2 linked regions of the Canis lupus familiaris genome follow. Each later gene encodes a partner of the first gene's protein in a complex. Links are inferred from orthologs where the notes say so. Each region holds a gene or a part of one and is shown on either strand. Other genes may lie near its edges.

What was found.
Region 2: the proteins of ALK (region 1) and ALKAL2 are in contact, whole or in part, in a cryo-EM structure (PDB 9G5I), measured with the Homo sapiens proteins. The link is inferred for Canis lupus familiaris from reciprocal best matches to the Homo sapiens genes ALK and ALKAL2. Residues at the interface, in NP_004295.2 of Homo sapiens: Leu684, Tyr739, His755, Ser758, Leu760, Phe856, His857, Glu859, Leu965, Tyr966, Thr967, Pro968, Leu970, Lys971, Val972, Met973, Glu974, Glu978, Asn980, Val992, Glu994, Cys995, His996, Met997, Phe1007, Asp1009; in NP_001002919.2 of Homo sapiens: Ser112, Lys113, His114, His116, Arg117, Leu118, His120, Asn121, Thr122, Arg123, Asp124, Arg133, Arg136, Leu137, Arg140, Leu141.

The regions. Positions count from the first base shown.
Region 1 is NC_049238.1:23,041,227-23,044,769, forward strand, and holds part of ALK (ALK tyrosine kinase receptor), read right to left. Parts: intron 2,860-3,543; coding exon 2,769-2,859; intron 1,387-2,768; exon of another isoform or gene 1,098-1,386; coding exon of another isoform or gene 980-1,097; intron 253-979; coding exon 1-252. UniProt on the Homo sapiens protein: Neuronal receptor tyrosine kinase that is essentially and transiently expressed in specific regions of the central and peripheral nervous systems and plays an important role in the genesis and differentiation of the nervous system.
Region 2 is NC_049238.1:266,460-270,985, forward strand, and holds the start of ALKAL2 (ALK and LTK ligand 2), read right to left. Parts: upstream 2,839-4,526; coding exon 2,553-2,838; intron 1,267-2,552; coding exon 1,213-1,266; intron 1,136-1,212; coding exon 1,055-1,135; intron 1-1,054. UniProt on the Homo sapiens protein: Cytokine that acts as a physiological ligand for receptor tyrosine kinases LTK and ALK, leading to their activation. Cytokine-binding is sufficient to activate LTK. In contrast, ALKAL2-driven activation of ALK is coupled with heparin-binding to ALK.

The sequences.
Region 1 (3,543 bases):
CACAGCTGGTCCCCTAGTGACTCGACCAGAGAGCTCCGCAGCCGTGGGCTTCTTGGCAGCTTTGCCAGAGGAAGTGGAAGGCAGGGGAGGCGGGGCAGCTGGATCTGGCCCTTCCTCCCGTTTAGCTTGTGGAGGAGAGACGAGTAGAGGAGGAATTCCCTCAGGGTCTTGGGGCCTCATGGGCACCTTCTCCTCCTCTTCCATGAGTGGGCCATACTCTACGGGCAAAGCAGTGTTGATCACATCTGGGTCCTACAGGCAGGAGAAACAAACGGATTACGATGTTGAATCACAGACCAAAACTGCTGGATCTGGAAGCTGATACCTTACTGATGGTCTCATCCAAACTGATTTTACACGTGAGGAGACCATTCAGTGTTGATTGGGGATATTTTAATTCAGAGGCACCAGGGAATAGGAGATGAATAGGAAATCATCCTTTTATCGGGCCCTGGAGGAGGCGCTATCAGAGGAAATCAAGAAGGCTCAGAGGACCAGCTGCCCCTGAGAAGAAATGCCGGTGGTGTCCTCCCTGGCGGGGGGTGCTGCCCGCCTCTCCTGCTCAGGCTGCCACAGCTGGTGGACCCTGGCCTCTCCCCATCTCCTGGGAGCTGGGGTGGCCTCCAATAAAAAACTGCTGGGTTAAAAAAAACAAAAAAAGGACGTGGAGGGGAAGCACTCGTCTAGAGGTGCCAGGTGCTGGGATGCAGCCAACCAACTGCCTGGCTTGGGTGTGTGGGATCAGGGAAGACTTTGCAGGGAACCACCTTTGGGAAAATCTGACAGATTCATGGATTTAAAAAGATTATAAATCAGTTAAAAAAAACTTATCCCAGTCTGTTCCCAATAAACTCCCTGCCACTGAAAAGAAAAATCTGGGTGTTTGACTTCAGGTCGGCGTGTGTGTACACATGAGGGACGAGGGGAGGGGAGGAGAGACACACTGTTGGCTCACAAGGTTTCTCTCTTCTCTTCCTAGCTACCTTCCATTTTCATATTTGGATGGGCTACACTTGATTATCATGTTTGCTGTGTTACATCATCGTATCGTTCTGTGTGCAGAAAACACAGTGGTTCTTTATCTGGTCTGGACCTGACCAGGCCCTTTGTGAAGCCCAGGAAGTCCTGCAGTGCTATGAGGAAAACCACTTACAAAAACAACTTTGTGCTAGATCATTCTTAAAGCAATGGATATATAGAAAAGCAGAAGCAGTTGCCAGAGATATGAAGAAAATCTGTGGAAGGAAACTCAAGCTTGGGGGAATTTAATTCTTTAATATTTTATGCAAAATGGGAAAACCATTGCGTCGGTGTAGCAGAAGAGCACTTTGGTCCAGTATTCATCAGTAAAGAGTATAAGAATAAAAATACCTTCTGCTTCTCTTATTCTTTAGTTCCTTCCCTGTTAATTATTAATCTCTATGGAGACTCATTAGAAATATGCTTGTACAGAATTACCTGCTTTTAAGAGGGACGTTATCCACTTGGGAGAAAAATGACTCCAAAGTATATGTATTTAAGTGGGTATATTCTATTAGAATTACAACATAACAACCTAAGATGCCATTCACTGAAGAGCAAGTTTTCTGAAAGAACCCTACATAACTTGATAAATGAAGTCCATCTAGATAAAGGCCCATCTCCGCACTTCTGAGCTGAAGTTGCTGGAAGAGCAGGGCGGGAGTGCTAGGAATGAATGATGTGGCTTGAACACGTATTTGGCTTCAGTCACAACCAGGATGGGGCGATTTGGGGAGGTAGTGGTGCCTGGCCCGACTTCTGAAATACTCTCTGGAGTTAGATATCCTGGCAGAATGAGAGCCAAGGGAGGGAGAGAGGCTGATGTGTGGAGAGGAGATCCTGCCTGCGGAGGGAGGGAGGGAGGGTCCCCGGGGAAGCTGGTGGTGCAGGTGCAGGGGCTCCTCTGAGGGAGGGGACGGCCCCCTCCACTGACTGGTGGGGAAGATGGTGAGAACGGACGTCCATGCATAGACAAGAGGGTAATGAATTCTCAGGCTCTCCTCTCTTGAAGTAGGAGGCAGGGTCTGCTAAAATGGTGTAGAAAGGGAGAATTTCGAGTTATTTCTGAAGGAAATGGGAGAAGGATCTGCATAGGGACCAGTGGTACTGCTAGGAAACCGTGAGGCTTGGAAAACCTCTCTAAGCCTCAACTCATCTGGAAAAGGGGGATAGTTTATGTATCTCCCTGAGGACAAAATGAAATAGATGAAAAGTGATCTGTATATTTAGATGCTGTACTAATGCTATTGATAATGTTAAAATTTCTCCAGCTTACTTTGTTCCTCCCTTGAATCCCTCTAATATTTATCATTGAACCTCCCATTTAACAATTATATACGATTAATTATTTCACATTAAAAAAAAAATTATTTCACATTATTATCTCTCTAGCCACACCATAAGCTATTTGAGAGCACATGTTTCCCATATTTCTCTGAAGCTCCAGTTTTGTCTAAAAAACCATTACCTACCCAGGAGGCATTTAGTTTAAGCCTTGTGATTTGAACTGATTCCCTAATGGTATTGGGTGTTCTGCAGCTGTGTCATGTTGTTGGCAAAGGAAGAGGTAATAATTAGCATTTATTTACAAAATGGGCAAACCGAGGGACCAGTTGTCTTACTATAGATAAGCAATCATCCTCGTGATTATAACTCACATTTTCTGGCTGGCTTAACTTTCATTTCACAGTTTGGTATTTGCCATCTTTTCCATATAAATGCTGGTTCAAGGGGGAAAATGTTTATACCTGGGTACAGTATTCAATCCTCTCCAAAATAATGGCAAAGTTGGGCCTATCTTCAGGCTGATGTTGCCAGCACTGGGTCATTATCCGGTACCTAAAAGAAGAGTAAATACGCTAATTAAAACTAGGAGAACAGGGATGCATACATTTTTCCCAGCATTTTTCTAAGGGGGACCAGAGGAGGCAGTCTTTGAGTGACAACTTATCTAGGTCCCATGTGGTTGGCATCTGCTGCCCTCTGCTGATGGGCCAAGGAATCGTGCCCAGGTGTAAAGGTACTAGAACACCAAAGCTCATTAACAGACATCCTGCTGTTAACGTGAAATCTGGCTCCTCTCCTTCCATTTCTGAATTAAAGTCACCTCTGGGGAAGAATATTCTAATTATATTTCCCTTCTGCCTTGCTTGTGCGAAGGAGGTGAGTGATGCCAGGCAGGACAGCAGAAAATGCAGGGAATGGGAATATTTAAAGGAGACTTAAGACAGATGGTGTTGGGCAGCAGGGGTGGAGTCTGGGACACAGATTCCTAGGAGGTGTTGAGGAGTGGGAGCCTGGTGAGTCCACAGTCTCCAGCCAGACAGTAGATAACTTTACAGACGTGACATTACTGCTTTCGAGGACTTGGAAGACTGACCCGCCTCACAGAAGTCACAGACACACCCCTATCCTGGGGTGTATTAAAAGAGGTCAACCCCTCCATCTTAAAACAAAAAATGCATATGTGGCTGCAGTATTTTTTGAAAAGGAAAACTGTCCCTATCAACTTGTAGAAATGTT
Region 2 (4,526 bases), about 23 Mb from region 1:
TATATATATGTGCACATTGAAACAATAAACATGAGAAGGGGCTCTGGCCCCTGGAATGATGATTAACTCTCAGACAGAAGCGGGAAACAGCTACGTGCCAGGTGCACTGGGCATGGACGACCTGGTGGGCCACAGCAGAGCTCGCAAAATAAAATCAGCTCTGTGGGACGTGTGTGCGGCGGCCTCCCAGGGCTGAGCCGCGCGGCGAGGGCCCCCAGGTGGGCACCCAGCTCCGTGTCCCCGGCCACCTTCACCACACATCTGTACAAGGAGCCGCACACACGGCAGCGGCGTCGATTTGGGGGCAACTCTGCTGCCTCAGCAGAAAAACTTGCACTTCATATAAAGTGGCTGATTTTTTTCTTTTTTTTTTTTTTTTAAAATCAGGGCAGGGCAGCCTGGTGTGGACGGTCCCCGAAGGCAGCTGGCAGGATGCTAGCGTCCCTCCTGTGGGCCTCCCGTGAGATAAAAGTCACAAATAAATGGGTTTGGGGCTCTAACCACTGTCACTCCAGCTAGCGTGTCACCTGCCAGCACTACACATTTTATGAAGAGCACAGCAGCCGCTTTAGGGAAATAAAATACATTCTGTTACAGAGAAACCATCAGAACGCTGTGCTGAGACTGGACTGAGGGGAGGTGTGCGTTTCCAGGTCGGCGGTGAGGCCGAGCGGGGGAGCCGCGTCCAGGGAGGCTGGGGGGCCCCGGCCCGCAGACTCGGTCCACCCCAGACCATTCCAGTGTGCGGTAGTCATCCTAGCAACTCATTCTTGATGCTTGTTTGTCATATTGAGCAGATACAAATATAGACGACATCAGGCCAGAATTCATAAACAGAACAAGAATGTGAATGGAGGAGCTCGGCCCACTCCAAGACATGATTAATTCCAGCAAATGTAAATAATTTTCCATTTGGCACTAGCTGCTGCAGAACGCGGCCGCCTTCTGCTGCGGTCTGGTCACCCCGACCCTCGCTGCATCGTTAGGAGGGAGTGCGTATGGGCAGGCGGGAGCCAGGGGGGCGAGCGGGAGGCCGCGGGGACGGCGCACTTACATGCGGGGACGGTGCAGTCCCTGGTGTTGTGGTACAGCCTGTGGAAGTGTTTGCTGCACTTGGGACTGAAATAAAGGGGGCCTGCAACGAAGGAAGCCGATGGTGAGTGCTCGCACGATGTGGGACCCGGACGCAGGTAACGGGATGAGGACACTCACCTGTAAGGTGCTTTAGAAACTTGTCCTTCATCCTCAGATCTCGAGGAACAATTTCTGTTTGAAGGGAAAGAGGTTAATTCTCGCATGGCTTGCTAGAAGCATTTTTTTTTTTTTCCCGTGAGATCGGAAGGAATGTCAAAGAAAGACTTTGGAGACCCTGTGTTAGCCACGCGGCAACGCACTAAGTACAACAGGCTGGAGCCCCTGCGACCGTTGTATGGGACATAATGTGAAGATTCGTCATCGGGAGCACATTTTTATTCAGACAGAATATTAGCTCTTCCCAGAGCTTCAGTACTACTTGTCTCTGCCACTGGCACGAAGACAGCGACCGTGAAGTCACGTAAGGGTGAAGGGCTGTGTGTGTGCATGTGCGCGTGTGGACAGACATTTGCATTTTGGGCAGCTTGGTAGGCAGATCCCACAAGCTCTCAAAGTCTTAGAATGAAAACCCAATGCTTCAAACAAACAAAAAATCGTTATAAAACTGCTTTTTTTTCTAGGTCTATATTTAGAAAACGGATTAAATGCCTTCACAACCACCTGTTATGAAGGCTGGTGTGCATGCATGCAAATAGACAATTACCTGGTTTTAAAGTGAGATTCCCGAAAGACAGTTGTCTTTCTACTTGGGAACTAGCAGGGCTCCCACAGACCTCCTCTGATTCCAGGCTTTGTGCTTGCTTTTTTCTTTTTTTTTTTTTTTTTTGCAGTCACCTGTAACCATTTTCCACTTGCTCGTTCTGGATGCTCACTTTGCTGGGGCTACGTGTGCACGCACCTTCCCTGGCCACAAAGACTCCTCGTCTCAGGAGGGCCTGTCTCCTGTGAACCTCACTCACTTGTGCGGCTCAGACGTCTCCTGAGTGTCAGTCTGTATAAAACTGACCTTATCACATTTGACCTAATTGTGTCAGGAAAGCATTAAAAGCTCTCCTACTTTCCTTGGACATTTCCCAGGAGGCACCCACTCTGGGAAGGCTCGGCCACGGGCGGGGGGGGGGGGGCGAGGGGGGCGGCCCCGAAACGTTTCTGTCTCAGTTGAAAGTGCTTTGCTGAAAATATTTCCATTTCCAAAATAACAGCTGACAGCTCTGTGCCAAAGCGCCGGACCCAGGTAACCGCTTGGGGGCCCGGCGGTGTGCGGACGGCGCTAGGCCAGGCCTCCCCATTCACCCACCTCCCATTTTCTTCGTTCTTTAAAATAAAAATCGCCTCTTTTTTTTTTTTCTTTTTTTGCAAACAGTCGGCATGGTTCTATGTTGCTAAGACAGACGCGTTTCCCCAGGCAGCGCGAGTCCCAGGGCCCGTCCCCGCGGGCGCCCTCGGGGGGGACTCACCGACCCTCTGCTCCTCGGGGAGGGAGCGCCCCGCGCCGTCCGACTCCGACAGCTCCCGGCGGCCCAGGCCCGGGCCGTGCAGCCGCTTGGCCTCTCCCGCGTGCGCCTTCCTGAGCTCCTGCAGGATCTCCACGACGAGCCGCAGCAGCGAGCGCCCCGCGGCCGCCTGCCCGGGCTCCGTGCCCCCGGGCCGCGCCGCCCCCAGCACCAGCAGCAGCGCCAGCAGCAGCCCCAGCGGCGGCCCCAGCGGCGGGAGCCCCAGCGGCGGGAGCCCCGGGCCGCGCATCCTGCGCTCCTCGCGGCGGGCGGCGCGGCCTGCGGGGACCCGCGCGGGTCGGGGCGGGCGGGGGCTCCAAGGACGCCGGCCCTCGCCCCGCGCCCCGGCCCCGCCACTGGGTCCCCGGGCCCCACGCCCGGCCCAGGTCCCCGCCCCCGCCCGGCCCCCGCCACCCGCCGCCCCGCGCGCCCTCCCCGCGCCCCCCCCGACCCTCCCCGCGCCCCGGCCCCGCCACTGGGCCCCCGACCCCCGCCCGGCCCAGGACCCCCCGCCCGGTCTCCGCCACCCGCCGCCTCGCGCCCACCCCGCCCCCCCCCCCCGGCCCCGCGCCCCGCCGCGCCCCCTGCGCCCCTCCCCGCCGCCCCGGCCCCGCCACTGGGTCCCCGCGCCCCCGGCTCTGCGCCCCTCCCCGCCGCCTGGTCCCCGCGCCTCCTGCGCCCCCCGCGCCCCTCCTCGCCACCCAGTCCCCGCGCCCCCCGGCCGGTCCCCGCCACCCGGTCCAGGGCCCCCCGCGCCCCCCGCGCCCCCGCCGACCTTTCCAAGTTTCGGGGAGACGGCCCCGCCGCCTGCACTTGGCTGCGCGCGGCCTCGGCACAACTTTCTTCACCTTCCGAGCCGCGCGGCGAGCGGGGCCCCGGCGGGAGGGGAGGGGAGGGGGCGCCCCGCGGGGTCCTGCCCGCGCCCGACCTGCCCCTGCCCCTGCCCGGCCCCGACCCCGACCCCGCGGCCCCGCGCTCCCCGTGAGTGGGTGGGGGCCGCGCCCCGCCGGGCGGCTGCGCTCAAGTTTCCAGCGCCGCCTTTGTGTGCCGGACGCCCCCGCCCCCGGGGCCCGCACCCCGCACCCCGGACCCCTTAGGACCCCCGCGCCCCCGCCCCCCCCAGAACCTTGGCGCCGCGGCGGGGCAGCGGCTCACACCTGCGCGGGGCACCTGCGCGTCGGGCCGGCGGGGAGCGCGGCGTCCTGGCCCCGCTAGTCCATGGCCCGCGCCGGCCGGAGCGCAGCGCCGCAGCGGGGACCGGACGGGGCCCGGGACGGGGCCGGGGCCGGGGCCGGGGACGGGGCCGGGGACGGGGCCGGGGACGGGGACGGGCCGGGCGCCGCCGCCTCTTATCCCCGCGCCCGCCGACGTCAGGCCGGTCCCCGAGGGCTCCGCGGGCTTTAATTAGCAGCCGCTCGGGTGTTCGAGGCCCGCGCGGATCCCCGCCAGCCCCCCCGCCCCGCCGCCCCCTCCCCCTGCCGCCCGCCCGCCCCCGCCCTGCCTCCCTCCCCGCCTCCTGCTCCGTCATCCCGCCTCCCCTCCCCCTCCCCCTCCCCCTCCTCTCCCTCGTTCTGTTTCCCTCCGTTCCTGTCACTTGTGACAGGATGAGAAGAAACGCCTTTACCAGGAACTCAGATCTGTTTTTGTCTAAATGTAGATCTTGGGCTATTAAAAAAGGAGCCGCCTGATTGCCTCGGCATTTAATAAGTCGATTAGAGTCGGGTTCGGGGAGCCCCGCGCCGCCCAGGACGGCCCCCAGGCCCGCGGCCCCGCGGACGCCCCTGCCCCTGCCCCGGGGACCCCCCGCCCCGGGGACCCCCCCCACCCAGCCCCGGGCACCGCCCCCCGAGGCCGCATTTCCCAAAGTGTCGGTGCCCGGGATTCGGGCAGCGCATTTGCGAGGCTGCAACAGCGTATCATCTCCTTTGCCATTTTTTT